Macaca mulatta: one gene and its partner. The protein of the gene in region 1 interacts with the protein of each later gene in a pairwise test. Links are inferred from orthologs where the notes say so. Each region holds a gene or a part of one and is shown in the gene's direction. Other genes may lie near its edges.

Region 1 (2,930 bases):
CATGTGCCACCTTTTTTTTTTCTTTTTGAGATGGAGTCCTGCTCTGTTGCCCAGGCTGGAGTGCAGTGGTGCGATCTTGGCTCATTGCAACCTCTGCCTCCCAGGCTCAAGCAATTCTCCTGCCTCAGCCTCCCGAGTAGCTGGGATTACAGGCACATGCCACCATGCCTGGCTAATTTTTTGTATTTTTTTTTTTTTTTGGTAGAGACAGGGTTTCACTATGTTGGCCAGGCTGGTCTTGAACTCCTAACCTCGTGATCTGCCCACTGTGGCCTCCCAAAGTGCTGGGATTACAGGCGTGAGGCACTGCGCCCAGCCAGATTTTTATTTGGTTGTTTTGAGACAGGGTCTCACTCTGATGCCCAGGCTGGAGTACAGTGGTGCAATCACAGCTCACTGCAGCCTCAACTGCTAGGGCTCAGGTGATTCTCCCACCTCAGGCACCTGAGTAGCTGGGATTACAGGCATAGGCCACAGCACCTGACTCATTTTTTTGTATTTCCTTGTAGAGATGGGGTTTCACCATGTTGCCCACCTAGGCCTCCCAAAGTGCTGGGGTTATAGGTGTGAGTTACCGTGCCTGGGTTCCTGAAATTTTAAAAGGCAAAGCTTTTGGCTGCTTAAAAAAACCTAATAGTTGGCCAGGCAAGGTGGCTCACATTTGTAATCCCAGCACTTTGGGAGGCTGAGGCATGCATATCATGAGGTCAAGAGATCAAGACCTTCCTGGACAACATGGTGAAACCTCATCTGTACTAAAAATACAAAAATTAGTGGGGCTTGGTGGTCCATGCCTGTAGTCCCAACTACTCGGGAGGCTGAGGCAGGAGAATTGCTTGAACCCAGGAGGCGGAGGTTGCAGTGAGCCGAGATCGTGCCACTGCACTGCAGCCTGGTGACAGAGCAAGACTCCGTCTCAAAAACAAAAAACCAAAAAACCCTGATAGTCTACAAAAAATTTGCCTGTGCATAAATTAGCATAATTTTTTTTTTTTTTTTTTTTTTTGAGATGGAGTCTCACTCTGTCCCCCTGGCTGGAGGGCAGGGGCGCGATGTTGGCTCACTGCAAGCTCCACCTCCCGGGTTCCCACCATTCTCCTGCCTCAGCCTCCTGAGTAGCTGGGACTACAGGCGCCCACAACCGCGCCCGGCTAATTTTTTGTATTTTTAGTAGAGATGGGGTTTCACCGTGGTCTCGATCTCCTGACCTTGTGATCCGCCCGCCTCGGCCTCCCAAAGTGCTGGGATTACAGGCGTGAGCCACCGCGCCCGGCCTAGCATAAAAATTTTTAAAGGTTGCCGGGCGCGGTGGCTCACGCCTGTAATCCCAGCACTTTGGGAGGCCGAGGTGGGCGGATCACGAGGTCAGGAGTTCGAGATCAGCCTGGCTAACATAGTGAAATCTGTCTCTACTAAAAATACAAAAATTAGCTGGACATGGTGGTGGCGCCTGTAATCCCAGCTACTCGGGAGACTGAGGCAGGAGAATGACTTGAACCTGGGAGGCAGAAGTTGCAGTGAGCCAAGATCGCACCATTGCACTCCAGCCTGGGCGGCAGTGAGACTCCATCTCAAAAAAAAAAAAACGTTAAAGGCAAATGGAAGTTCCTTTTCATATACTGTTCTGCAACTTAGTTTCTTTACTTACACCATGAACATCTTTCCCTACCACTGTAAAAAGTATCTTGGACTTCTTGACAGCTATTTAATATTCCTTATCTTTGATAAGCCATTGGTAGAACATTTGGACTTTTACTAATTTCTCATTTGTATAAATAGTGCAAGGATGTATAAGAATGTACATATTTGTTGGCAAACCTGGGTGCTTTTATGGAATGGACTTCCAACTGGCATTTAGGGGTCAGAGTTCTTACAGAGCTGCCTGTTCTTCCACTCCAGGTGCCTTCAGGACAACAACTGGGACTACACCAGATCTGCCCAGGCCTTCACTCATCTCAAGGTAAGGTCTGGAAATACAGTGGCAAAAACACTAGGATCTCTGGGCCTTCCGGAGGTCAGGTTAGCTGGGGTTGCTGAGTGGAGATGGTAGGCCTGCCTCTACTGACCTTCATTTTTCTCCAGGCCAAGGGCGAGATCCCAGAAGTGGCATTCATGAAGTGATTGTAGTCATGCCCCAGAAGCAGCCTCCCCTGTAAATAGTCCTTGGATATTACCATCTGGTTGTCGTCTGTCATCTCCTCCTGTCTGGCCCTAGGCCGCCCCGTGACTGTGACCGAGGGAGGGAGGGCTGCCTGATCCCTCTCCTCGCCTGCCCTGGAAGCCTTCAGAAGATTGAGCCTCACTGATGCCCGGAAGCCAAAGCTTACTTTGTAGAACTGACACTAAACTACCCGAAGGATTTAGGTGCTTTGTGTACTTAACCCCAGGACCTCCTTACTTTTTAATATAAAGAGTGATGTTGTATTTTGTGTTCTGCGTTCTGGATTGGTTGTCTCCTCCCAGCCCTGAGCGGGAGGGCGGGCCCTCTAGCGGGGCGGGGGAGGGGGGGGCCAGGGAGGGCGGGAGGCGGCTCCGCGACAGGAAGTCCCACCCCGGAAGTCGGCTGGCCATGGCGGCGCCTTGGAGGCGGTGGCCCACGGGGCTGCTAACTGTGCTGCGACCCCTGCCCACGCGCCGGCCCCTGCAAGGCGCGACGCTGCAACGGGATGTGTTGCTCTTTGAGCATGATCGGGGCCGCTTCTTCACCATCCTCGGGCTGTTCTGCGCTGGCCAGGGCGTCTTCTGGGCCTCCCTGGCTGTGGTAGCCGTGTCCCGGCACCCGGTCCGGGTGAAGCCTCTGGATGCGGAGGTCCCAAACCGTGGCCCCTTCGACCTGCGCTCCGCGCTCTGGCGCTATGGTCTGGCCGTCGGCTGCGGCGCCATCGGTAAGACGTGGGCTGGCTTCCCACTATGGCAACGTGGGGTGGCGG
Region 2 (4,124 bases), on another chromosome or scaffold:
TACTCTGTAGCCCAGGCTGCAGCGCAATGGCGCGATCTCGGCTCACTGCAACCTCCACCTCCAGGGTTCTAGCGATTCTCCTGCCTCAGCCTCCCGAGTAGGCTGGATTACAGGCGCCCGCCACCAAGCCCGGCTAATTTTTTTTTTTTCAGTAGAGACGGGATTTCACCATGTTGGCCAGGCTGGTCTCGAACTCCTGACCTCAAGTGATCTGCCGCCTCTACCTCCCAAAGTGCTGGCGTGAGCCACCGCGCCCAGCCTAATTTTAATTTGAATTCATTAGCGACGTTTAAAAATCCCAGGATTTCACATAAAAATCCAGATTGCAGACGTCGAAAAAAAATGTAAAATGTTATCTCCCAATGTCGCAGGCAAATAAGATCACAGTCCTGAATAGCAACCGCGGTCTCTAGTGGACACGGCTCTCATCCATTTCGGTCCATTTTATTACCTGGGAGGACCGGTATTTTCAATTTCAGTAACTTTTAGAGGAAACTTTTGAAAAAAGGACTGCACACACGCACCTTTTCTTCCTTCTCGTTCTTTAAAAGGAAACAACAGAAACAATTCATTCTGCAGGCAATCTGCGCTAGTCCCACGGATAGGCGATTAACAAGAGATAAAGAGGTGTGGGTACCAGAAGCAGTACTGTTACCCCTTCTGGTTGGCGGGTACCACGTTGAAAGGTCGGGGTACGGGCCCACTGCGACTAGCACAAAGAGTGCTGAACTGAGCTATGCAAAGTTCTGACGAGAAGGTGGAATGGTTCTTAATGAAAAGGATTAAGGAATCTAAACCGGTTTCGCTAAATTAGACACATCTGTCTAAGCAGCCACAGCTTGTTCGCAGCAGGGGCGGGAAGACAAACCAACGCCCCAGCTCTCTATTCAGTCACCGGCAACTCAGCTCTGGACTAGACGCACTCTACGAAGATACCCGGGTTTCCGGAGCAACGGCCCGAGCCCTCCCCCTTTAGCCCCGCCTCCGAGTCTCTTTCCCGCCAAAGGCCGTTATCGCCGCAGAGCATGGTGGGACAAGGCTTTAGGCTAGGTTTCACCAAGTCCTTTGAAGGCGCCGAGTTGCTTTCAAAGCTCCTCATTCCTGGGGAAATTGACTATCCTTCAAGACTCGACCTGGATGACTAGCTCCTTTAACGAGAGTTCTTTATTTAACTTTTACCAAACGGCTGCTCACTCTATTCGCAAACCACCCCAAGCGGGGAACGCGGGGGACTTTTTTTCCCCCTTCGTGCGGAGGGTGACGTCGCGCGTGCGTGCGCGTGCGTTGCGCGTATCCCTCGCAGCACCCGTTGCGCTCCCGCGCGTGCGTGTTGGGATCGAATCGCTGTTTCCTTCCGCTTCTCTTCCTCTGTCTCCCCCCCATATCCGTGCGCCGAGCTGATAAAGGCGCCATTTTGGAGGGGCCGCGGGAGACGTGGTGCCGCTGCGGGCTCGCTCTGCGGTGCGCTAGGCTTGGTGGGAAGGCCTGTTCTCGAGTCCGCGCTTTTCGTCACCGCCATGTCGGGAGGTGGTGTGATTCGTGGCCCCGCAGGGAACAACGATTGCCGCATCTACGTGGGTAACTTACCTCCAGACATCCGAACCAAGGACATTGAGGACGTGTTCTACAAATACGGCGCTATCCGCGACATCGACCTCAAGAATCGCCGCGGGGGACCGCCCTTCGCCTTCGTTGAGTTCGAGGACCCGCGGTGAGGCGGCATGGGGCTTGCAGCCTTGAGGAAATAGGTCCGAGTAGTCGGGGAAGGCTCCAAGGCCTTAACATAGAGAACGGGGAAGCGGGGGCTCTTAGAGAGGTTGGGGCGAGACTGTATCGCCCATGCAGGAGTCGAGTAAGGAGCTGAGTTGGTGTGGCTTCTCTGGCGCCTCGCCTTGGACGTCCCCGGAGCCCATTCGCAGGCTGGAGCGGGAAACTGAGGCGCTGAGGGCTGGTGTAGTGGTTGGGAGCCTGGCGTGTTTCTGGGTGGGGGAGGGGCCATTCCTATTATGCGGCGCATGTGGGCTCTTCCACGTTGGGTGCGCATGTGCGGGGGGTTCCCGACTGAGCGAGCTTCTCCTCCTGGTCTTTCTCATGCCTTTTACTTTCTGCGATCCCGCAGAGACGCGGAAGACGCGGTGTATGGTCGCGACGGCTATGATTACGATGGGTACCGTCTGCGGGTGGAGTTTCCTCGAAGCGGCCGTGGAACAGGCCGAGGCGGCGGCGGGGGTGGAGGTGGCGGAGCTCCCCGAGGTCGCTATGGCCCCCCATCCAGGCGGTCTGAAAACAGAGTGGTTGTCTCTGGTGAGTGTACTTGGTTGTGTGGATTGATGTGAAGGGACGGAAGCTACCTAAAATTTTTGTCTTGCATGATCGGTTTAACAATTGCAAATTTTTCATGCTAGGTCTTAAATTGCTTTAGTTTTTGGGTGAATTTAATAAACGAGGATTGCTGCTGTGGTGATTTACCAAATTAGGTTGCGGTACTAGATACGAAGATCCGTTACAAATAATTTTGGACTCTGGATCCCAGAATCTTACCAGCTCTTTACCTGGTATCACTTAAGTACACCTATTAAGTATTTTAAAGTACTCTTTGTTCTAATGTACCTTACCAGCTTAACGTGAAATTTAAGATAATTGATACTAAGAAAAAAAATCACTTTTTCAGGACTGCCTCCAAGTGGAAGTTGGCAGGATTTAAAGGATCACATGCGTGAAGCAGGTGATGTATGTTATGCTGATGTTTACCGAGATGGCACTGGTGTCGTGGAGTTTGTACGGAAAGAAGATATGACCTATGCAGTTCGAAAACTGGATAACACTAAGTTTAGATCTCATGAGGTAGGTTATACGCTTATTCTTTTCTTTGACCAGAATTGGATACAGTGGTCTTAACAGTGGAATTTGAAGGTAAGAATTCAGGCAAGGGTGTCCAAGTAAATTGCCAGATTTCTGGTTGTAGTTGCATTGTATGCATTCAGCATGCCTGAAGATAGATGAAAGCTTAGATCTTTCAATGGAAAGTTCTGTCTATCCAATAGGGAGAAACTGCCTACATCCGGGTTAAAGTTGATGGGCCCAGAAGTCCAAGTTATGGAAGATCTCGATCTCGAAGCCGTAGTCGTAGCAGAAGCCGTAGCAGAAGCAACAGCAGGAGTCGCAGTTACTCCCCAAGGAGAAGCAGAGGATCACCACGCTATTCTCCCCGTCATAGCAGATCTCGCTCTCGTACATAAGATGATTGGTGACACTTTTTGTAGAACCCATGTTGTATACAGTTTTCCTTTATTCAGTACAATCTTTTCATTTTTTAATTCAAACTGTTTTGTTCAGAATGGGCTAAAGTGTTGAATTGCATTCTTGTAATATCCCCTTGCTCCTAACATCTACATTCCCCTCGTGTCTTCGATAAATTGTATTTTAAGTGATGTCATAGACAGGATTGTTTAAATTTAGTTAACTCCATACTCTTCAGACTGTGATATTGTGTAAATGTCTATTCTGCCCTGGTTTGTGTGAACTGGGATGTTGGGGGTGTTTGTGGTTATCTTACCTGGGGAAGTTCTTATGTTTATCTTGCTTTTCATGTGTCTTTCTGTAGACATATCTGAAGAGATGGATTAAGAATGCTTTGGATTAAGGATTGTGGAGCACATTTCAATCATTTTAGGATTGTCAAAAGGAGGATTGAGGAGGATCAGATCAATAATGGAGGCAATGGTATGACTCCAAGTGCTATTGTCACAGATGAAATTGGCAGTATTGACCTTATACTAAAAGGCAGGGGTTAAAAATGATTATATACGTTTTCCTTAAAACACTTGCAAACATTTTATTCAGTTATCTTTAGCTACAATTGCTTTGCTCTTTAAACCTTGGCAATTGTGGCAAAATTATATTGCCCATTTTGTAGCAACTTATTTTGCTCCCTTCCCCCCATTTTTGTTTTAATAGGGACTAATGTGGGAAGAACTGGCTAATTTGTCACAGTGCTTAGTTACAACTGTTAATGTGTGACCTGCTGTTGGTGTACATGTGGGTACAGGGTGTCTTTAAATCCAACAAGATAGAGTATAATATCAATACTGCTAAATCTGCATGTCCTCTGTGTGACTGATAGA

The links.
Region 2: the proteins of NXF1 (region 1) and SRSF1 interact in binary tests that used the Homo sapiens proteins (3 or more experiments, as listed by UniProt). The link is inferred for Macaca mulatta from reciprocal best matches to the Homo sapiens genes NXF1 and SRSF1.

Annotation. Positions count from the first base shown.
Region 1 is NC_133419.1:11,264,687-11,267,616, forward strand, and holds the end of NXF1 (nuclear RNA export factor 1), read left to right. Parts: intron 1-1,858; exon of another isoform or gene 1,859-1,899; coding exon 1,900-1,960; intron 1,961-2,082; coding exon 2,083-2,121; 3' UTR 2,122-2,428; downstream 2,429-2,930. Other genes in the region: TMEM223 (transmembrane protein 223), read left to right, coding at 2,570-2,885.
Region 2 is NC_133421.1:51,982,247-51,986,370, forward strand, and holds the start of SRSF1 (serine/arginine-rich splicing factor 1), read left to right. Parts: upstream 1-1,314; 5' UTR 1,315-1,517; coding exon 1,518-1,711; intron 1,712-2,119; coding exon 2,120-2,304; intron 2,305-2,671; coding exon 2,672-2,844; intron 2,845-3,027; exon of another isoform or gene 3,028-3,044; coding exon 3,045-3,239; 3' UTR 3,240-3,604; coding exon of another isoform or gene 3,605-3,643; 3' UTR 3,644-4,124. UniProt on the Homo sapiens protein: Plays a role in preventing exon skipping, ensuring the accuracy of splicing and regulating alternative splicing.